7 linked regions of the Kluyveromyces lactis genome follow. The main gene of each other region encodes a partner of the protein of the gene in region 4 in a complex. Links are inferred from orthologs where the notes say so. Each region holds a gene or a part of one and is shown on either strand. Other genes may lie near its edges.

Region 1 (3,459 bases), on a different chromosome or scaffold from region 4:
GCATACTTTTCTCAAGGGAAATATTATAATGTTCGTCCTTTAGCCATTGCAATACGTGATTTATCAGATATTCTCTTTTTAAATCTTGAAATTCCGAAAATAAGTTGATATACTCGAGGCATCTATCAAACAGGTAGGACATAACGTTTCTGCTGAGCTCTTCATCGACTTGCGAATTGGTAACGGCGTAGTATCCTTGATGTTTCTTGACAAAAGATGTGCCCAGATTCTTCATTGCGATATCGAATATAACCAATGCGACATCACCACGTAGTGCTGGATTAGTTTCTTCTGATCCAAGCATATTCATATCGGCTTCTGGTAACTCGTTTAGTTTATCTTTCATCTTGTCACCAGTACTTGGAAGTTGAATTCCGTCTTTGTCAAAGTATGCTTCGTCATCTGCAGTTTCTTCCAGACCTGTTACATTACTGGAGTTTCTTCCTTCCTCTTGCTGTTGTAGCATATCTAGCTCTTGTTCCCTTTCGTTGATTAAATTCATCACTTTTCTTCTATTTAACAATTTTGTCACGAAATTCAGTTCGAATTTAACGTACTCGTACCAGAGTTTAGAAGCATCTGGATTAAATCTAAGACCAGTTTGAAAAACATTTCTACAGCTCTTGAAGTTTGCGTGCAATTCGTATTCATATTTAGCACATGATATCCAAACGTCAACGTTTGTTGGATGTAATTTGAGCAATTGATTGTAGACGTTTTGAATCTTTTTATAAGAGGCATTTGTACCCTTTGATTTTAAATGATTCAAATATAAAGACCAAAATTTCAATTTTTTTGGGAACTTATTGCAGCCTCTTTGGAAAATATAGAGAATCCTCTGCTGTATGGTAAAATCCGAAATACTATTTGATTTGTTCGATTGCAAGATACGTTTAACACGTTTCATTCTTAATGCATCGACATTCTTCTCGTATTCAATATATCTGATGTAATCACTTATACTTGAACCTCTCGAACTCAATCTGTGTTCAAAATCAGTCCTTTTCTTCATAATTTTGTTTACTTCATTCTTAGTGAATAACTTCTTCTGCACTAAGTCATCAACTTCTGGAATACATTGTTCCAAGTAATATCTTGTTCTGGATGACATCGCCTTACTCTGGGTAGTTTTATGTTAAGTATTGATTAAAGTGTAATCACGGAGACTCGTATCGCTCGCTTACTGACAAAGGAAACGACTACTGGCTTTGTTCATGCTAAATAATACTGAGATGAGATGAGATGAGCCTTGAAGCTTTTGAATTTTTTTGGTTATATTGATTTCTTTTTCATATAATCAGTCAGAATAAAGTCCTCCATTTAAATAACCATCGATGAATAACAAAAGGACAAGTACAATTGTTGTTCTGCTAGCGTAAATCGGATTTTTTTTTACTGCAAATTGAATCCGCTTACATATGACATTCGGGACTACCATAAACTGCGACCCTTAATGTCGTTGTATGCTTTCATACAAGATGACAGTTTTGTTGATCGTTAATTCGGGCAATTTAACATTACCCGGATATTTTACATGGTAGACAAATTTTCGATAATCAAAAATCTGAATATGAAATAGGTTGAATACTAAAGATGATTGATTTGTTTGCGGTGATCAGACATAGGAGTGTCCAATTGATCCCCTTTGTATCGAGACATTAAGTCAGTGTATCAGAATCAGCCATGTTTTCCAAGAGACAAGGTTTGAATTTGTGCAAAAACGTATGTCAAACCCATTTTCATCACTGTTGCAATGGTAAAGCGCGGGCTTTCCTCAAACTGCATGATGATATCCTTCCGCATTAAGCAGTTATATCACCTACTTTTAGAAGATCGATTTACTAACTATTGCTCGTAATTTTTTGTTACTCTTTTCCCTATTCTCTACAGGTCCGTTACGTTTCCAACAAACCCCTTCCTAATGCTAGTCTACCGCCAAAATATACCTTAGCAACGGTTCGTTCATTCCCATCATTAGAACCATTGACATTTGCACCAGTGCCAACCTCAGTATTTGATGCTCCATTGAGAAGAGACTTACTATGGCGTGCTGTTGTTTACGAAAATGACAGTAAACGTGTTGGGTCTTCTAACCCCCCAGGCAGAAGTGATGTTGGTTATTCGAGAAGAAAGATTTTACCACAAAAGGGATCTGGTATGGCCAGAGCTGGTGACGCTAATTCACCAATAAGGCATAACGGTGGTAGAGCTCTAGCAAGAACTGCACCAAATGATTATACCACAGCGCTCCCAAAGAAAGTGTACTCTTTAGCATTCAATAACGCACTAAGTCATCAATACAGAAACGGTAACGTCTTCGTCATCGGAAGTGGTGACGGAATCTCCGAAACAAGCCAGGCTGATCTAAATGAATTGGAAATTCTTCCCATCGGGGAGGGCTCAGAAGATGGCGATATCGTGTTCGAAAAATTCCTAAAGCACTATGAGCTACAGAACAAGAAGCTATTATTCGTTATTAACGAACCAAGGCCAGGATTATTTTCATTTACAGAAAGATTCCAAGATAAAGTTAACATCGTCCAAAAAGAATTTGTTGATGTCAACGATCTACTTAAGGCTCACAGAATCTTTATTGAATTGGAAGCTTTAGAATACCTGGCTGTTACTCACGTTGTTTGATTATGGAACGAGATACTGATCATCAGACGGGAGTTAAAATAAAAGCTTCGAATAATAAACTCCACATTGCACCAACTCATCCACAACTTGTATATATATGTATGTGTGTATATTAACGTCACAAATAAAATGAAAATAGCTACACGGCTGTTTATCTAAGTTAGCGACATCCGTATTTGTAAAGACAATTGACCAATGCTGTGGCCATCATCAAGCTGTAAAATCCAAATCGAGGACAAACAGACGCAACCATTTCGGACTGTTGTCGGAAGCCTTATACACCCGTGCATTTTATTATTTTCAATGCGCCTATAACCGAATAATAGTTTAATTTTTCCTTTCCTTCAAGTTTCCTGATTAGGAAACCCATCCAACGTTTTTCAGACTTTGGGCTGAGTTTTCTCCGTGCCTAAGGAAAGACAGGGCATTAGGTGTGCCGACGCCTCGGTTCTTTCCAGTTTCTCCTCCCCGACAGAATTTCCATCCCCCTGATTCTGCTTCTCCTACCGACACCTTCTGCTCCTAGGCTGGGAACATGCACCACTAGACCGATCTTGCTCAGTGACAGAGTATGCTGGGCCTCTGTCCAGTTCTGGTTTGTGCGGTTGTGAGACAATCGTTCTATAGTGGTTTTACCGAATGGCAAGTTTGTATGGAGGGAAACCTTTGAACCTTTGCAAAATCATAGTGTTCAATTAGTGAAAAGCTACTTAACAATGATATATTAGTGTTATTATATTTAAATAACGGATACTTTATTATTAGGTAGTCGTTTTCGAAACAGAACGAGTAAGAAGCAAAGATGTCTCTAGTTGTTCA
Region 2 (3,378 bases), about 200 kb from region 4:
TAATTTGCTTATAGGTGGTTCATTCATTGAAAGGTTCTGGCAAAGCCCTAGAGAATTGGCCAAATTTGTTCTAATCTTGGGTACCATTACGAACTTAATTGTCGTTCTAATTACAATAATTTTATCAATGTTTTCGTCAGCAATAAGGTTGGATTTACCATTGGATGGTAATTATACAATTTTGGTGGGGTTCCCTATTATCTACAAACAGTTATTCCCAGAAACTACCATTTTCGAGACTAAGAATCTACCTTTCATTTCCAAGAATTTCAGATTTAAACTCCTGCCAATATTTACTCTACTTGTGCTTTCGTTTGTGCAACTTCTGTGGTTCCACCACTTCTCTCAGTTATTATCAATTTGGATCACTTTTTTCACCTGTTATTTCTACTTGAGATTCTATCAGAGGCTACCTGCTTCGATGGCTGAGGATGCTGAATTTGAAGTGGTAGGAGATGCCTCTGAGACATTCCAATTGATATATTTCTTCCCGGATTTAGTCAAACCAGTACTTGAGCCAATATTTGATTACCTTTACCAGAAGTTTATTGTTGATTGGCGTATTGCAACTCCGTTTAGAGTATACGATATCGAACAAGCTAACATTTTGGCTCAAAAGAGGGGTGCTAAGCCTGTTGAAGGCTCTGAAGCGGAAGAAAGAAGGAAAAAGTTAGCCCTACAGGTTCTCGAAGAAAGATTGTTGGACAACAAAAACACAGAGTCTTCTACTCCACAAAACGATGTGTAAAAGTGAGACAAGCTCATTCTTATATTTTTAGACTTTAGAGCATTAAATAGACAAAAGTTGCTACAACTTGTGAATACAGATATCAATTTGATTGATATGGTGTATAAATCTGGAGAAATGGCGTTGAATGATGTGTATTATATACAGGGCATTTCTATATTGCTATATGATGTTCAGTTTGATTTAATTTCAGAATTTGGAGAAGCAGGAGCAAAATCGTTCTCAAGTTGCTCTAATTGCAACTCAAGCTTGGACTTCTTGGTCTTCCGAGCAACCAAATTTTTACCGCCTTCATCTTTGGATTTCTGCAAAAGTTGATAGTATGGGTCATTTTCCATAATCAAATAACCTCTCTTTTCTTCGTTACAGTAATATTCAATATCCTTCCTCTTTGTGGGTCTAGCTTGTAGAGGAACTCTTCCGTACTTTTCTAGGAACCAATGTGGTGATAAATGGGCTCTTAGACCAAGACGGTTGAAATAACGAGCAGTGAAACTTCCGCCTGCATGTTCGATTGCCTCAATTGCATCCTGTGAAGCTCTAGTAGCTTCAATCTTGATTGGAAGATTATAAGAGAATTTACCATCACCTAGAATCTTAATACCATCTTTGATCGGGCCGGTAACCAAACCGATTTCTTTCATCTTTTTCATCGTCAAGGTTTCACCTGGCTCCAAATGTAGGCGACCCTTTTGGTGGAACCACGTTATTCTATCAAGGTTTAATTCTTTCAATTTTAGTGATGTTACGTTGGTGAACCCTAGCTTTGGGAACAATTTGAAGATTGGGGTTTGACCACCTTCAAACCATGATTTTACATAACCACGGGCCTTTTGACCCTTTTGACCTCTACCAGCAGTCTTACCTTTGCCACTGGATGGACCTCTACCCAATCTTTTGTAGTTCTTCTTAGAGCCTTCACCAGGTTTTAAACCACCAAGGATCGTGATTTGGCGTACAAATGATCTCTGTATAAGTGATCCAAAGGGATTCACCACTTTGTTGATCGAAAACATCGTGCTAGTATTGTGAGACCTCGAGATAGGGCTATTAAATATCGATAATAGTAGATATCCAGTAGATTCATTGAATATCCAAATCATCTCCAGTAATTTCTTGTAAGTTAACCATATTCATTCTAAAAAATTTTCGAAATTAGGTATTCGGGTAACCTTTTAAAATGCTGAGATTCGCTAGGACACAGAGGGAGCTTGGAGACGATAAGAGGGTATGCAATGCTGATGTAAGTGTTTAGATGCGCCTAGCAGATTGACAAATTGAAACAGCCGAAACTATTTCAGTAAACCTACTATTATTTTAGCATCACGTTTTTCAAAAATGTAGCTGTAACATTATAAACTGCGTATTCCTCAGTTCAAAATAGGTTAGGTCCACCAGAAAAGAATTGGTAGCAGGCAATAATCTCGTAGGAGTATATAGTGGTAAATTCTTTTTATGACAAGAAACAGCTTCTATGGCCAAGTTGGTAAGGCGCCACACTAGTAATGTGGAGATCATCAGTTCGACTCTGGTTGGAAGCATTTTTTTGGATCCCTTAAACAATTACCCTAGATGAAAATGTAGCACAATAATTCCCGACAGTAAACATGACAATTAACCATTATAAAGATACCTTGAAGTAAAATGTGAAGAAATTAAATGAGTATTATAACGTTATATATGTACATATGTGAAAGCCCAACTTATCAGTATAACATAAATCGTTTCGATATATTTTGTGACTTGTCTTGTTTATAGTGTTAGACAATTAACTGATCCTCAGTTGATAGTTTTCATTAGGGGTATCAAGTATCAGTAGTGAGTATGGAACATGGCTTATTGTGGGCCTTAGTTGATGTTTTATATTTGGAATATTTCCTTTTGGCGTTTGTTTTGTTTGACAACAACAAGGGGATGATATTGGGTATATCATGCTATTATCTTAGCGAAATGTGTTAAAAAGATGATGTTATATTGTATCAGGATCAATCTCCCCTGAGATTTTCGATGATCGAATTGAATTCTGTATCCTCATCATCCAGCTCATCTGGATTGGCGATTCTTAGCGGTCGCCTTTGTTGAGTTACATCTGGTAAAGAACCATTGCTGAATCTAGGATTTCCCATTGTCGGACGTACAGGAGGTTGTGTTAGGTCTGGTTGATCCATAGTTTCTCCAAACGGACTAACGATTTGCGAATCACTGATTTCGTTTCCATTATTATCCAATCTTTTCTCCCTATTTTGACTTACACCAGATCTATCAGAGGATGATGATGCTGAATGAGAGTTTGGTAAAGTAGCAGCAGCGCCAAATCCACCTCCGGTAACTGGTGGGACTACGATGTCTTCTTCTTGACCAAACGAATAAGGTTGGTAATGCTTACTTTCCTCGAAGTCTGACCGTTTACTTTTCTTTCGCTGTTGCCAGATGAAGAAAATGATAATTGCTGCGATCAGTAACACACCCAAAACAACACCCACAACAATACCAGCGATAGCACCATTAGACAATGATGAAGATTTATTTGACTCCGTTTTAGAGTTTGCAGTGTTGGTACCTTCGGCTGTGGTTGCCACGACGGTACTTGTAGTTGTAACGGCAACAATACTCCTACTCTCACCATTTAA
Region 3 (3,642 bases), on a different chromosome or scaffold from region 4:
GATAAGTAGACATTAATGGTGTAGTATGGAATCTATAAGAAATTTGGTCTGATTCTGTCAATTTCTTCGTGCACTTCAGAGGCATATTAGCTAACACAGTGTATTTCTCATGCGCGATAATGCATATGTCAAAGGTTGCCTTCAAAGAGGGTTCATCGAAACATGGGAATGCTCTGCGAGCATCCGTTGCCTCGAACTGAGTGGAAAACATTACCTTATTTTCACCGGTAACAAAATCAGTATAATCTGAACGGTAGAATCCAGACATATTAGTCTGAATCATACCCTTATAATCGATCTTCAACACGAATTCATCATCAGATATACTCTCCGGAAATTTCAAGGAAACAACATCGTTCTCTAAATCGAAACTATGGTCCTTCATTCCCAAAGACACAGACCCCTCTTTCAGTTCAACCACCGCAGAAACGATCTCAATGTCCCTCATATTCAATGAAATCATGTCATTGGCATTAACAGTGGACATAATAATACGCACGGATCCGATAAATGAATTGTGCTCAGCATCTAACTCACTCAATTCAATCTCATAATGGTTGGCCCTAAAGTCGGTTGGTAGAGTTTGAATCTTAACGTCAGCCATCTTTCAGTGAATCAGGTATAAACTATTCCAATACCTAATTGGTTCTCTGGATATATCACCCCAGTTGTCTTATATAGTGAAAAATCCAATATGAAATCAAAGAGTAGGTGTCATTCAAAGCTTTATCAAAGGTCTTAAGTGTTATCAATCTGTTTTCGTCAATGTGTCAAAATTTTTTTCTACCTTCCCTGCTGAAAAGCTCAGAAGTGAGCGTAGAAATTTTGATATAAGACGGAGTAGTATGAAAAGAGAAGCTCCTCCATTATCCAGCAGCACAACTGCTCATACGTTTCACCTCTTGTGTAGTTTTGGCAGTAGTTTCTTTGACCTATTAAACATTTTGCGCAGTATTGAAGAAGACCGTCTCTTTAGCTGATCTCCGACATCAGAGTCAATTGAGTCGCTTATATCAGAATCGGAGCTGAACATAGAGGGAAAAGCTCTCTCTGTTGGAGTTTGTGTATCAAACTGCGAGTAAACTTGAAGTTTAGATATTAGTATGGTAACTGCCTCGACATCGTGCCTTAACTCTGTAGAATTCGGTTCTGAACCGTTCATATTTGATTTAATAAGCTTTTGAATATTATACAGGATAATACAGGGAATGAGAAGTAAACCTACAATGCTGATTGGCAAAGGGTCTTTATACCAGGAAAAAGTTGAGGCATCTTGTCTTTACAGATCTGAAACAATGTCGCGATGAGCATTCTCATATAAGATTCGTCGTTTCAAACATAAATGATCATTATAATCCGCATATAGGAAAGGGAAGAAGAAAATATACAAAGAAAGATGGATATGATGGGTTCGCTGGATCAGAAGAGCGTCATTTGCAACATATGAAACCGAATGGCAGTCTCAAAGGCAAAGCTTACCAGTTATTGATCTCTGAACTTCCACTTGGAGCGAGAGGCACGATCTTCTGTTACCCGGACTGAAACACATTAAAATTTTTTGGTGAAAAATCGATTTCGAACGATTCAGATGAGTTTTAAGTATGAACGGACAATGAAGATACATGAATAATCAGTTGTAGGATCCCATTGGAGGGTGTTTCAGAGACTAACAACTCGAATTGGAGAATGTTGCGTAGAGGGTTGCACAGCAGTGCCAAATGTTTAGAGAAAACCGGGGTATGGTCGGACTTTTCTAAGAGATCCAAGTCGCTTGGTTTAGCATCAGAATCGATTAAGAAATACATCTTTCAAGGCGACAGCGATGACGTTAGAAGACGAGGTCCACCGTCTTTGAAGCGGAGGATGAACCGTTTGAAGTATACCTCTCCTGAACATATTGATGAGATGTTCCGCTTGAGTTATGAGTTTATGAGTAAGCGCGCTGAAGAGAAGTATTCGCAACTAGAAAATGAGACTGATGCCAAGGTACGTGCTAAGTTAGAAACAGAGGCTGAATTGCATAACCCAGAGGTCCAATACAATTTTCAGTATCATGACAAGTTAGAGAACGATACTAGAGTGATAGATTATGCTGTTCCAGTGTACAGGCGTTTGGGGCTGAAGCATTGGGAATCCTACGAAAAAATGTTGTTAATGCAAAGACTAGAGACTTTGAGTGTAATCCCCGATACGTTACCTACTTTACAACCAAGAGTACAGGTTAATTTACGTTTCCCATTCAGTACTGGTGTGAACAAATGGGTTGAACCTGGTGAAATTTTGTCCTCCAACACGACTTCGATGGTTCCAACAATTAAGATTCAAGAGTACGAGAACGGTATCGACTTCGAAAAGCAAAAATACACTGTGGTAATTGTGAATCCAGATGAACCGGATGTGTTGAATGATACATTCAAGACGACTTTGGCGTTCGGTTTGACTAATTTAAAGATAGACTATAACGACAACGTGGTAGATCCAAGAAAATACAATGAATCGCAGATTCTTGCAGATTACATTCCTCCAGTACCTGAGAAAAATGTTGGCAAGCAAAGGTTCTCTGTATGGGTATTCAGACAGAATGGTGATTTGGAATCCCCTGAACCAGTCGATAGAGAAAACTTCGATATTAGAGAATTTGTTCGTTCCCACAACTTGGACCCGGTTGGTGCTCATGTTTGGAGATCAGAATGGGATTCTAACGTGGCAAACATTAGAGAGAAATACGGATTACCAGAAGGGAGAGTGTTCCATAGAGTTCGTAGATCTGTTGTATGAAAAAAAAAATGAAAGTTTCCAGAAAGAGTTTATTTCCTCCTCGTCTCTCTCGCGATATATATGATTACACACTTTTCAACAACCTCAGGTGGTCTGAATAATATCTCATACCTCATGTAAATAATATGCAATGTAGAAAATCAATGCAACATACGCAAATCATAAAAAAAACTAAAAAGCTTGTTCGAATCTATTAAGAATATGATCATTAGTTAACATTTATTCCCGGTAACATAATAAATTATATAGTAATAATACGGTGTATGGTGCGTGCGTTCATGTGCGTCTGTTTTTTTGGACTGCCTCTGATTGAATATTTTCCTAGAGGCTATATATAGAATCTTCTTTTTTTTTGGCTGTTTCTTCTTCATATGTTATTGTATTGGCTGTAAATCTAATCGTAACAAAAAAAAGGATTCGTGAGGTCTTTCGTTCTTAGTCGAGGAAAGCAGATATAACTCTTGTTGTCATCATTTCTTGTTGACTACCAGAATTCAAACAGAGAATACAACCTTTTATTTTTCTATTATGCTTCAGCTCGGAGTTATGCATACAAGTTCCTTTCCCTTGTTACACAAAAGAGAAAAAAGAAGAATTAAACACACCTCTCCTTATTTCATAAGTCCTGTTGCTTATTGCTTCAAGGATTCAACAGCGCTCAAGATGACCGAAGCATAATCCAAGTTAGGGTCCTCCAAATCAATCTTGGCAGAAGAACCAGCAGTAGCAGCCTTAATTTCCTTCTTTGGTGGGTGCAACTTGGCGTATTCTGCCTTGGCTTGTTCCACTAATTTCAATTGAGCGTGCAATTGGTTTTGTTCTTCTTGCTTTTGAGCTTCTGACTTCAAAGACAAGTCAGTCTTG
Region 4 (3,288 bases):
TGGACACAAAACGTACGGTCTGAGACCTATGCTGAACGAGTTCTCCCTGTTTTTCTCGTCACCATGGGCGTTTGGTACATAAGTGGGTTTGAAAATCTGCAGATACTGATTATAAGTCATTCCAGTTGTGATTTGTGGATGGATTTTGTTCATATGGAAACCAATTAAATCTCTGTTCTTGCCGATGAACTGCTTTCGGCAATGTTTACAGTACACAATATCTTTGTTGGCGTCTTCATTTAATTTGAATAAATGAGTCGTAAACCCCGATTTATCTGAGATAGTCCATTGATCGCCTGGACTTTCCTTCCATTCTATAACATATATTGGACCGCACTCATCCATTTGTTATGAACTAGTAACAGTTATCTAATCATTTAGTCATTACTATAATCATAAATTGTTGAGGTCTGTTACTACAAGTAATGACCTTTACGTATAGATTTCCATTCAAAATAAACATGTAGTAAAAAAAAAAGTCAGATAAAAGTGCGATGAAGTATGATATTATGATCTATGTACAAGTAGCGTGGATACGAATGGCAGTTAAGTGCTAGCCAAAACTATTATTTATTCTTATTGTAATTCGAAAGATTTCTTGAAGTGTTGGTAGACCTTGTCACCAATCAATTCTTGATCTTCATCAGTCAATTTACGTTTTGGCAATGCTGCCAATTCTTTTCTTTGTTCGATGTATCTTTTCTTTGCTTCCGTTAGAGGCATTTTTGGAGCCACCAATCTTGATATTTCCTTCGTTGTCAAGGTACCTCTTCTGTATTTCGACTTAGGGTTACGGATGGTTGACAATGCTGCTTCTGGAACAGGATTTTTTACTACGCTTTCAACCCAGAAAGTTTGTTGACGTGCAATTTCAGAACGCGTAGCCAATGCACCATCTGGCTTGAACTCCGGCTTAGGCCATGGAACAACCATATTGTTCTCACCAACAACAACCCTATATGGCATAATTTTCTTGTAATCTGAATCATAATACGAACCCTTGAATTCGATGTCACGAACAGCAACAGTCTTAGCCACACCTGGAGTCTCTGGATCATCGAGATCAGCGACTAGTTTGATGTCCGCTTGGCTCACGGGGACAGGGAAACTCACCATATGACTGTTCTGCCCCTGTTGCCAAAATTGCTTGGGCACAGGAACAGTGTTGGTGGGTCCATTCTCATCCAAAATATACCCGTTTGTATGCACGTCGTGCTGCGTAATGGCACAAACATTGCCCTTAAACTTTCCATTTACTATCACCACTCTATCACCTGGCATATATTTCCATTGCTTTACACTCTTATACTTCTCGGATTCTTCGACACGAGGCAACGATGGTTTCAAGAACTCTGGCATCGTCAAACCTTCATACTTGGCAAATTGTTTCGCAATATTAGAGTTCTTCGCTTGAACTTGCTCCAAAAAACGGGCACCAGCCTTCGATAAATGTTTATATGAAGACATACCCGCTGATCTATTTTATTCTAGTATCGAATACCACCGTCCTTTTCACAGAACATAAACCATTTGTGGTTCATTCCATAGTACCATATTGATACATATGTCTTTCTTGATTCCGTTCCTTCAAGTTTTTCATCGACAAATTTTTTTGGAAGGGAAAAATGAAAGCACGTGATCCGAATTAGACTATCAGATTCTTCGCATTTGATTTAGTATTATAGCTTGATGTTACATAGGATATACAAGGTGAGATATACATGCGGCACAGGGCTCCAGCTGTGGCAATGGAAATGGTCGTGAAGCACTAATTGTCAGTGCATATAGCAATGAACTCTTCTTCATTGATCTCTCCGTCATCGTCAAGATCAAACTCATCAATCATGGCACGTAGTTCTTCGTCTGTAAGGTTTTCACCTAGTTCGTGAGCTACACGTTTCAAATTCTTCAATGAGATCTTGCCCGTGTTATCATCGTCGAATAGCCTGAAGGCACGTTTAATTTCATCCAATGGGTCTCTTTGCAATATTTTTTCTCCTACTACCAGGTAAAAATCCTCGTATTGTATTAACCGGCGTCCGTCTGCATCATACCTATCGATAAGTTCTAATATGTCTCCTTTACTGAGTTCAAAACCCAATGCCCTTAGAGCGACTTTGAATTCATGATAGTCGAGATATCCATCATTGTTCATATCAAAGAGTGAGAACGCCTCGTATATTTCTTGTTTCTGTTCTTCTAATAATTCCTTTTGTAAAGTGGATTTATCCACGGATTTCGCTACTCGTCCACTGGGCCTTCTGTTATTCATGTTTCTATGATCCGAATTGGGTTAGATTTCTTGCCGTTGTGAGTCTTGGCTGTAAGTCAATCGAACCTCTTAATTTACCTCTTTTGCTGCACGCGTAAACTTCGTGAAACTTCTTTAAAATATGTTTAAAGATTTCATGTTTATGATTATTTTGACAATATTGAGTTTAAGGAACATAAACACATATCCTGAAAGAAATGAAGGCAATAACTGATGAATACCTTACAGTACTGCCAGATCAACTACTCTTTAGTTCTAAAATGAAACAATGGATCTGGAATTAGGAGATAGGGTAGTGCTACGCAGCCTGGCAGGAACTGTACGGTTTATAGGCGAGACGCAGTTTGCAGCGGGGATTTGGATCGGTGTTGAGTTAGATGAACCCTTAGGGAAGAACGATGGTAGCGTCAAGGGAGTCAGGTACTTTGAACTCAGTGAGGGTAGAAAAGGTCGGATGTATGGTATATTCAGTAGAAGAGAGGGTATCTATAAAAATTCTGCACCGAACTCGCAACAATTTCAGGATCCTGATACTACGAATTCTAACTCATCAGATCCCGAACGATTGAAAAAGATCATTGGAAGATTGGAAGTTAAACTCAAGTCAGTTAATGACAAATGTATTTCGTTTGAAAAGGAGCTGGGATTGAGATCAAAAGAGCTTGAAAAAGTGCAATTTCTCGAGGAACAATTGGAGAAATTAACTTTAGGACGAGATGAGGCAGAGCAACGCAATGATTCACTGATATTTGAATTAGAAAGCTTGACCATTGCTCATGAAAGTGCTTTGAAGGAGCTTAATGATTATAAAGAAGAAATTTTAATAAGAAGAAAAGCAGACGTTGATGTCAACACTGATCAGATAGAATCAGTAGAATCAGATGCCCTTATCAAGCAAAACAGATTATTAACGGTTGCACTACAAAAGCTGCAATCAGACCTAACAGAAATACAGAAACAATGCAACGGTTTGAAAAATAGTAATGAAGAACTGCAAACCCAGGCAGAGACATATT
Region 5 (2,796 bases), on a different chromosome or scaffold from region 4:
TCACCGTTCACTGTAATCTCCTTTTCAGATCCTACAACGGCAAATGGAATAATAGATCTTATACTTTTATTCAGTTCCACTTCTTCATCGGTCAGATCGTCTAAATCATATGGATAGATTCTGAAATTGTACTTTTTAAATTCTTCTTGTAAGATGTTTCTGAAGTTAGCTCTCTCATTCAACGTCAAAGTATCAGCTTTAGCGATCACCGGGATAACATTAGCGATTTCTGTCAATCTCTTCAAAGCAGCAACGTCAAGTTCTGTTAGACCCTTACCGTTAGGTTGGATGAAATATAACACTGCATGTACTCGAGTGTCTACAATGTGTCTTTCACGTTGAGCAGTCAACTCTTTACGTAAATATTGAGAGTGTTGCTCCTTGATGTACTTGACAATAGGTTCCCAAACTTTGTCGTTATTTATCTGGTCACCAAAACCTGGAGTGTCAATCACGTTCACGTTCAAACGTACACGGTCTTCCAATAAAGAATGTGTTGAAACCTTGATCTCGGTGGTCTTACTAATTGGTTCCTGAGTGATGTCCTTACCAGTAGAAGAATCAACCAAGTGAGATGCAAACAAAGTGTTGATCAAAGTACTCTTACCCAGACCAGAATGTCCAACGACCATAACGTTGAATTGAAATCCTCTCTTCAACAAACGATGTTCAATCTGTGAAGTAATCGAATCAAACCCAACATAAGAAGATGGATTTACCAAAGCCAACCCATCAGAAGAAGAAGTCATACCAGCTGCAGCAGTACTAGATGCCATTGTTTTTGTTTATGCGTGTATTTTACCTTTAATAATTCCTTTCGCGTAGTAGAGATGTATATAAGTCAAATCCAAATGATCAAAGCTTTACGTGTTTTAGTGTTTGGAAGTTAAAATAATGAAAAACCTCTAAGTTATAAAAACAATTAACCGCAATAACAAAAATTCAAACAATGAGTAGCAATTAACCACAGAAACGTCAAAAAAAAGTAATCACAATCTTACTTATTCTAAAGAATACAAGATCTGATTCCTTACTTATATTTTGTTGACACACTTATTTCGTTTCGAGTTCCATTTTTAGTTTTTGTGATTTTTCGTCTTTTTCATCGAAATCGAAAAAGGGACACAGATCATCACCAAATCAGGGTAATGTTGAAAATTCTTTCTTATAATCCAATTCGTCAATACCAATTTGAATTGACGAAGTTCAAACAGAGTTAGACGAGCGACCTAGAGAAACTAGTATCTGTCCCTATCGATTGAACTTATCCTTTCTCCTCTTCATCATAGTATCATACCAGCAGCGAAAATAATTAGAGGATGTCTTTTGGAGCTGTAACGGAATCTTTTAGCAGAGTGTTGCTGGAAACAGCGACATCAATATTGCCTCGTTGGAGCACTCCAGCAGCTGGTACTGCATTGCCACAGAAACTGCTGGAATTGCTTGAAAGAAACCAACGTGAAAAGTCTTCACCTCAAGCGGATTACTTTACGAATAACGGGATCCTTCTAGCTGTGCCCAAGAAGAAAGTGTCGCATCAGAAGAAGAGACAAAAGTTATATGCGCCTGGAGACAAACAGCTGAAAATGATCAACCATTTGAACAAATGCCCTTCATGTGGGCATTACAAGAAGGCACATACGCTATGTATGCATTGTGTGGGTGAAATCCGTCACATCTGGAAGGCTCACACTAACGTTGAACAAGTGGAGCCTATTCAAGAACAAGAGTTGTCTGAATTGGACAAGCGTATCTTGTATCCTGGTAGAAAAGAAACTGAATACACAAAGAAACTGAAGGACAAGGATGCTTATTTGGAGAGACGTATGAAAACTCTGCCAGTGGAGAGATCTGAGAAGAAAGAAGGATCACATTAAACCCTCTTCTCATTGAATCCAGTACAAAATAACACATCGGCGGAAATGACTAAAAAAAAACAACCTTTTATCAAGTTCAATCCCCCCATCACCTTGTATATATATGTCGAATACACGTCCCAGATTTTAGCAGGTTATTTCAGTGTCAGCATTCACCTCCTGTAGTAATAGTTAGATTCATTATCTCATCACAATCAACTCTACATAGAATCAAATCACATACAAAAATTTTCCTAGAGCAGGCTTGATGCCAGGCCTAAAGGCGTGAAAATCAGTCGAGAAAAGATCAGATTGAAAAGAAAAAAATCATGAGTGAAAAGATTTGAAGTAGCGATGAGATGAGATGAGGTGCGAATACACGATACAGGATTAAGCAGGACCTGAAAACTGGCATCAGTTTAACAGTTTGGTCTGATATTGGTTGTTTTGTTTTGTTTCACTTTAAATTGACAATAAGGCTGACAATTTTCCATACAGTATGACAACGACACGACAGTTCAAGAAAGTGAAAAAGGTGCCAAATTACAGGATTCCTGTATTTACCAGCATCCCAACGCATCCGTTAGGGGTAAAACCTAGCGGGAATTCTTTATTAGAGGGTGCAGATCCTCAGGAAACTAGAAAGCTTAGGAAAAAGCTGTTAGGCTCTCTGTCAGTGCTACCAGAAGATCTTATAATCGAAATACTCGCATATATCGATGATCCAAATGACTTGCAGAACCTCGGATGTAGTTCTAGGATCCTTTACGCGTACACCTACGATGAGGAACTATGGAGAAAGATTTATACCAAGGAGTACTTGAAGTTGGAATCGGAAAGTCCAGAGCAAGAGCGTATTTCGCCGTTTGGATGTTCAAGGTGGAGGGGCTCGTGGAGAAAGACCATCTTGAAAGTAGACCAAGAAGCATTGATACAGTGT
Region 6 (2,674 bases), about 460 kb from region 4:
TAAAGCAATGAAAAGCGCTCATGAATTAAGAAGTAAGCAAATTCTGCTCAATAAACTGCGGGATAAAAATGATAGAAACAATCTGCCTTCACAGGATGGTGATGATGTCAAGCCGAAATTTAAAATGGATCCCTTGGAACCATTTGTCGCCAAAGCTTTACCGAGAGAGAAGAAGAAGCGACCAAAGGAGAAAAGGAAGAGCAAATTTTGGTTTTGGGGATCCCTTACCCATCATACTGACGAAGGAAACCACAGAGACAAAGCTAGGTCGCCAGAGCTTGAAGATTATAAAATTGGTGTTGTATCACCGAATTCGCGGTCCCCCACGTTATCGATTCCTTTCTCTGATCCCGATAACACTCAGACTATTACCAATAACGCAGTATCGGACAACATTAACCATCACCTGTCGCTAATAGACCTCGACGATGACGAGGAACACTTAAAGTGTTCAACGCCACCGTTAATACTGTGATACGTACTTTTTTTAGGCCTAATATATTTATTTCTCATCCTATTTAAATATCATCTACATTAGCACTGTAACTATATACCTTTTTTTGAGCCGGCGTTATTATAACTTGTTCTCTGCGTACCGGGGTAGCCACGATTGCCTCTGGTATGTGGTTGGTGCTCATATGACCCACTTGATTGCAATTTTCTGCTTGCTCCTCTCGTAGTGCCTTGTCTTCCTTAAGAACATCTGTATACGTTGGAGGATCCTCTGGCAAGGAACTTTTCTTCTCATCAGGATATTGCTTCTGATCGTCTTGAGACATCTTTCCGTAAGTTTGAGTTTAACTGTTTACGACTCCGAATGTTGGTCCAAGGGAAATCTCAACTCTTCGAACAGCGTCGGTTCTGATTGCCATTAAAATATATTGTCGTTTCTATACATTATAAATGGTTCAAACAGGGTCCTTGATGTGCAGATTTCCCTTTAAAACCTTACAAATGGCGTAATGCTATATCATCATATATCAGATGTAAAGATGAAAAGAAGGAAAATATGATATCTAAGGTATTCCAGGCTTTGTTAGATTCAATTTTTCATTATGTGAGGTGGCATAGCAGGTAATCAAGACAAGTCGGAAGTTAATCACCTACCAGCTAGTCGAAGGGCAGCTACTCCCTGTGTACTTGAACCTTTTTAGGTCACGTGCAAAAGAGTTTAGCAGTCAAAATAATCAACAGTTCCGGGTAACAGACATTTGTTTGTTCAACATCAGTAACTTTGAAAAATTTTGAAGATTCGATGAGGTTTCAGTGAGTTTATTGTTAGCTTTGACAATAAATTGAATGACGATTAAATACGGGTTGATTTTCTGCGATAAGTTCGTGTGATAGCATACAGCTTCTCAGCCAACCGAAAGGATCATTAATACTCCATCCACTATGCTAGCGAGTGCAGCATCTCGTAAGAATGCCTTGAAGGTAGTGCAACCCTCTTTGAACTTTGTTCGTGGGAAAAGAACTAAATCGAAAGGTGGATTAAATCCTCAAGCGCAAAGAATCATTACACAACTCTCTGTTATGTCTGCTAGCAGGAAACAGCCAAAACTTTTAAAACTTTCCCGTGAAGATTTGATCAAACATGATATGATTCAAGCTTGTTGGGCGCAATATCAAAGGGAACTGAGGGAAAAGAGAACAAATCTCTTGAAACTACAGTACGAGAATATAGAAGAAGCTATGAACTTATTAGAACAGGTAGATCCCGAACTATATGAAATGGCTAACGCTGAAGAATCAGGTAAGAGGGTCCCATTGGAACTAAGGGTACCTACTCAATACCCACCGAACAATGTGTGGTATTATGATTACAAGAAAAAGGATTGAATAGTTCGTTTCCAGGCATAATGCATTAAAGGTAGAGCACGAATCATATTTCACATTATCTCTTCTAGGACACTTTTTTATCGGTACACCAAACGTGGGTTGCTCGAGAAACAACTTGTGTGATCTACAGGCAAGACCAAGTGCCACGCAATAAAATATAATGGAGATGTTGCATTATATATTGTAATGAAAGAGTTAGATAGAAGAAATGTAAACAAACCATGTAAATAAGCAATTCTACGAAATGATTATCGGCAGAATGAAGCTCTTAAGCTTTTCAAAGGGGACTTTAACCGTATTCCAAAGTGACAGTGTACTTCAGAAAAAAACATGGCTTCTGTGTATACATCGGTTCGAATATGAATAATGGTCTTGTTTACAAATAGCATTATTCATTTGACTTAGATGATTTTAGCTTGAATGGGTACATGGTTAGCAAAATGGCATCACCATACATATTTTCTCCAGAATGATTTGCCTGCGGTGTTTTCAACGTTTGGAAGTAGCAGCCACGACAAAATCATTAGTTGAAACAACCCAAGAACAATAGGGAAGAGAACCCATGTACCTGTGCGATCAGAAATAAGCCCAACTACTAATGGAACTACAGCACCACCGGAAGAACCCATTGAAGTCATGATCAATAACGACTGTGATAATATTTTCCTTGGTAGAATCTTGGGATGCGACACTAGAGCAATCATTAAGGGATAGATTGGGCCTATAAACAATCCAGATATTGTTGTACAAACCGCAGAAACATAGAAGTTTGGTATTAACCACGCCAAAAGCAACAATACTGAAATGTTTAACGTTAGTAGGAAAATGGAACGAC
Region 7 (2,866 bases), on a different chromosome or scaffold from region 4:
GATCAATACAACAGTAAAAGAGCATTAGGCGCTATACTGAATGTGATAGTAAGGACTTGTAATCTTATATCTACTAGCTTGATACGTTCCCTATTGCACGTGACCACATTCTTTACTACAACCAAGTTTCTTTTCCGAACGTTTGATTCAAAATTTTAAAGCTCATCTCGGTCATCGCCAAACATTTACGAACTAACAATGGCTACTTGAGCAAGCTGTTTGCATTGATATGCTCTGTTAATCAACTGACGGGAATAAAGTATAATAGGATAACAATTACAAGAAGTTTGAGATCGAAATGTCACGTCCAGAAGATTTGGCACCACCAGAAGTGTTTTACAATGACAGTGAATCTAAGAAGTATAGTGGCTCCACAAGAGTGCAACATATTCAAGCTAAAATGACACTTCGGGCCTTAGAACTTCTCAACCTGCCACATACATCATATATCTTGGATATTGGGTGTGGGTCTGGTTTAAGTGGTGAAATCATCACTGAAGAAGGACATATATGGTGTGGATTAGACATTTCTCCTAGTATGTTAGCTGAAGCGCTAGAAAGAGAAGTTGAAGGTGATCTTATGTTACACGATATAGGTCAAGGTATTCCATTTAGAGCAGGTGTATTTGATGCGGCAATTAGTATATCTGTGATTCAATGGTTATGTAATGCGGACACATCGTACAACGATCCAAAGAGAAGGCTCATGAGGTTCTTCAATACACTATTTGCTAGTTTGAAGAAAGGAGGAAAATTTGTAGCACAATTCTATCCAAAGAATGATGATCAAATAGACCAAATCTTGGGAGCAGCAAAAGTAGCTGGATTCTCTGGTGGCCTTGTCATTGATGATCCCGAGTCCAAAAAGAACAAGAAGTACTACTTGGTATTAAGCTCCGGATCTACAGAACAGAATGAACAAGTCAACTTGGATGGTGTTAAGATGGATGCAGATCTAATGGTAAAGAGAGAGCGTAAAAAGAAACTAGTTGAATCAAGTAAGGATTACATCAACAGAAAGAAGGAGGTGATGAAAAAAAGAGGTAGAAAGGTAGCTCTCGACTCGAAGTTTACGGGTAGAAAGAGAAGACCTAGGTTTTAGTATGGTCTTGCATATATAGAATTAGTAGATACGCACTTAATACAATCAGCAAACATGGACTGAAACGTTATCATTCATTCACCATTTTCCGTGTCTATTGCATCTGCCATGATCAAAACGTTTAAAATGATCATCAAACCTATGTTGTAGTTTTCCATAGAAAGAACATTCGAAAATTTTGGTTAAAAAAGATGGAAACATAAGTACCTAAGAGTTAAGAAAGCACTGAAGCGCAGTTTATATTTGAGTTTAAGCCTTTACTACCCGTCAGATCAAGTTCCCATTCCAAAACTATATTAGTCCCATACAATGTTAAAGAGACTACTACCTACCGTTATCAGACAATCTGTTAGAAGTTATCAACTTCCAGCTAAGAGTGGAAGAAAGATTATTCCAGTTTACCCACCAGTTGAAAGAATATCCTCCCCATTAGTAGTGAAGACTCTAGCTGATCATGATCTAAAACAACTTGACCCAACTGGTGTAAAAACAGAGATGGTTTCAAAGAAAAACCCAAATCGTCTACGTGCAGGTGATGTTCTTCGTGTAGTTTACGATTCCAAGAAATGCAACTACGATAGTTTTACTGGATATGTGCTATCGGTAGACCGTAAGCCAATAGTACAAGACACATCCATTCTATTAAGAGATTATATTTATAAAACCTGTGTGGAAATGAGAGTGCCAATCTTCTCACCATTGGTAGAGAGAATTGATTTGATTAGAAGAGCGGATGGTAAGAGACGCAGAAGTAAACATTATTACATCAGAAACACCAGATTGGATGTCGGAGATTTGGAAGCAAGTATGAGAAAGAAGAAATGAGCACATTCACACTATCAAACACTTGCTGAATTTTCATAAAATGAAACATGTACATAGAAGCAATTCAAACATATAGTAAGTAATGCTCGATATCAATGCAAACCCAAAGACAAGGAAGATTCAAAGTTGAAAGAGCTCCAGAGTTGAACCATAATGCAAGGTACTCTATGCAGGTCCAGCTTCTCTAGGTAAAGTTATTTGTATCATTAGCATGTCGGGTGGATATATAATTGTATAATCTGTAAAATAAAAAGGCGGATTATGCTAGTCCTTATACCTCATCAAGTGCATCCAATAAGAAAGGAAAATCATGAGAAAGGATAAGCATAAGAAAGGATTTGTACGCTCTATCTAAAACAAAGCTGCATTGAGTGAGCAAGTTGCTCTATTAGAAATGAAAAGATTACAAGCAATTTTGGTCCGCATTTTTGATAATTTATGAAGGTTCTTGATTGGTTCAAAAAAGTAGTGGTATAATGTTATGAAAGCCGTACCAGCCGTCTCTATTGAAAAAAAATTGAAATAAGCTGACATTAAAAAACAACCATAACAGGTAAGGCAGCACGCCCGCATTTTTGATCTCGTGGATGGTTGCGCCACGATGCAATGAAACTGTTACAATAATCAATGATAAAAAATAGATCTTCTTTTATTAACTTGTCATGACATAGAATAATGTGAGACAAAATAACTCACCATGAAAGGTAGATTTGGTACGTTAGATCTGCTTCATTTCATTTCGTACAAGGCAGTGCTGTAAAAAAAAAACAGTTAATAGTATATGGGTCAAAATTATTCACAAGAAGGATGTGATGAGGGTGAAAATAGAATTGTACGCCTTGTAGTGTGAAGGCAATATCGTATTTCACCTCAGCTAGATTGAATTCTTCAAAAATTCAATCATATTTAAAAATCTTGGCCTTAACTCTGTCTTCGTTA

What was found.
Region 1: MRPL40 (region 4) and YML6 share a complex: the UniProt entries of both Saccharomyces cerevisiae proteins name them as parts of the mitochondrial large ribosomal subunit. The link is inferred for Kluyveromyces lactis from reciprocal best matches to the Saccharomyces cerevisiae genes MRPL40 and YML6.
Region 2: MRPL40 (region 4) and MRPL10 share a complex: the UniProt entries of both Saccharomyces cerevisiae proteins name them as parts of the mitochondrial large ribosomal subunit. The link is inferred for Kluyveromyces lactis from reciprocal best matches to the Saccharomyces cerevisiae genes MRPL40 and MRPL10.
Region 3: MRPL40 (region 4) and MRPL35 share a complex: the UniProt entries of both Saccharomyces cerevisiae proteins name them as parts of the mitochondrial large ribosomal subunit. The link is inferred for Kluyveromyces lactis from reciprocal best matches to the Saccharomyces cerevisiae genes MRPL40 and MRPL35.
Region 5: MRPL40 (region 4) and MRPL32 share a complex: the UniProt entries of both Saccharomyces cerevisiae proteins name them as parts of the mitochondrial large ribosomal subunit. The link is inferred for Kluyveromyces lactis from reciprocal best matches to the Saccharomyces cerevisiae genes MRPL40 and MRPL32.
Region 6: MRPL40 (region 4) and MRPL28 share a complex: the UniProt entries of both Saccharomyces cerevisiae proteins name them as parts of the mitochondrial large ribosomal subunit. The link is inferred for Kluyveromyces lactis from reciprocal best matches to the Saccharomyces cerevisiae genes MRPL40 and MRPL28.
Region 7: MRPL40 (region 4) and IMG1 share a complex: the UniProt entries of both Saccharomyces cerevisiae proteins name them as parts of the mitochondrial large ribosomal subunit. The link is inferred for Kluyveromyces lactis from reciprocal best matches to the Saccharomyces cerevisiae genes MRPL40 and IMG1.

The regions. Positions count from the first base shown.
Region 1 is NC_006038.1:120,181-123,639, forward strand, and holds YML6 (mitochondrial 54S ribosomal protein uL4m), read left to right. Parts: upstream 1-1,683; coding exon 1,684-1,722; intron 1,723-1,890; coding exon 1,891-2,640; downstream 2,641-3,459. Other genes in the region: snoRNA-binding rRNA-processing protein UTP6, read right to left, coding at 1-1,111; RPS18A (40S ribosomal protein uS13), read left to right, coding at 3,443-3,459. UniProt on the Saccharomyces cerevisiae protein: Component of the mitochondrial ribosome (mitoribosome), a dedicated translation machinery responsible for the synthesis of mitochondrial genome-encoded proteins, including at least some of the essential transmembrane subunits of the mitochondrial respiratory chain.
Region 2 is NC_006039.1:1,033,024-1,036,401, forward strand, and holds MRPL10 (mitochondrial 54S ribosomal protein uL15m), read right to left. Parts: upstream 1,852-3,378; coding exon 922-1,851; downstream 1-921. Other genes in the region: KLLA0_C12111g (uncharacterized protein), read left to right, coding at 1-748; WSC2 (Wsc2p), read right to left, coding at 2,734-3,378. UniProt on the Saccharomyces cerevisiae protein: Component of the mitochondrial ribosome (mitoribosome), a dedicated translation machinery responsible for the synthesis of mitochondrial genome-encoded proteins, including at least some of the essential transmembrane subunits of the mitochondrial respiratory chain.
Region 3 is NC_006040.1:1,119,259-1,122,900, forward strand, and holds MRPL35 (mitochondrial 54S ribosomal protein mL38), read left to right. Parts: upstream 1-1,686; coding exon 1,687-2,778; downstream 2,779-3,642. Other genes in the region: KLLA0_D13068g (M1 family metallopeptidase), read right to left, coding at 1-604; KLLA0_D13079g (uncharacterized protein), read right to left, coding at 896-1,162; TIM11 (F1F0 ATP synthase subunit e), read right to left, coding at 3,411-3,642. UniProt on the Saccharomyces cerevisiae protein: Component of the mitochondrial ribosome (mitoribosome), a dedicated translation machinery responsible for the synthesis of mitochondrial genome-encoded proteins, including at least some of the essential transmembrane subunits of the mitochondrial respiratory chain.
Region 4 is NC_006039.1:835,089-838,376, forward strand, and holds MRPL40 (mitochondrial 54S ribosomal protein uL24m), read right to left. Parts: upstream 1,468-3,288; coding exon 577-1,467; downstream 1-576. Other genes in the region: HNT3 (DNA 5'-adenosine monophosphate hydrolase), read right to left, coding at 1-345; CDC31 (centrin), read right to left, coding at 1,769-2,272; NIP100 (Nip100p), read left to right, coding at 2,541-3,288. UniProt on the Saccharomyces cerevisiae protein: Component of the mitochondrial ribosome (mitoribosome), a dedicated translation machinery responsible for the synthesis of mitochondrial genome-encoded proteins, including at least some of the essential transmembrane subunits of the mitochondrial respiratory chain.
Region 5 is NC_006042.1:1,182,211-1,185,006, reverse strand, and holds MRPL32 (mitochondrial 54S ribosomal protein bL32m), read left to right. Parts: upstream 1-1,319; coding exon 1,320-1,877; downstream 1,878-2,796. Other genes in the region: septin CDC10, read right to left, coding at 1-776; KLLA0_F12804g (uncharacterized protein), read left to right, coding at 2,356-2,796. UniProt on the Saccharomyces cerevisiae protein: Component of the mitochondrial ribosome (mitoribosome), a dedicated translation machinery responsible for the synthesis of mitochondrial genome-encoded proteins, including at least some of the essential transmembrane subunits of the mitochondrial respiratory chain.
Region 6 is NC_006039.1:1,299,802-1,302,475, forward strand, and holds MRPL28 (mitochondrial 54S ribosomal protein mL40), read left to right. Parts: upstream 1-1,395; coding exon 1,396-1,839; downstream 1,840-2,674. Other genes in the region: LFT1 (Lft1p), read left to right, coding at 1-475; KLLA0_C14916g (uncharacterized protein), read right to left, coding at 519-779; KLLA0_C14949g (MFS transporter), read right to left, coding at 2,286-2,674. UniProt on the Saccharomyces cerevisiae protein: Component of the mitochondrial ribosome (mitoribosome), a dedicated translation machinery responsible for the synthesis of mitochondrial genome-encoded proteins, including at least some of the essential transmembrane subunits of the mitochondrial respiratory chain.
Region 7 is NC_006042.1:571,598-574,463, forward strand, and holds IMG1 (mitochondrial 54S ribosomal protein bL19m), read left to right. Parts: upstream 1-1,411; coding exon 1,412-1,927; downstream 1,928-2,866. Other genes in the region: BUD23 (18S rRNA (guanine1575-N7)-methyltransferase), read left to right, coding at 299-1,102; RCF2 (Rcf2p), read right to left, coding at 2,824-2,866. UniProt on the Saccharomyces cerevisiae protein: Component of the mitochondrial ribosome (mitoribosome), a dedicated translation machinery responsible for the synthesis of mitochondrial genome-encoded proteins, including at least some of the essential transmembrane subunits of the mitochondrial respiratory chain.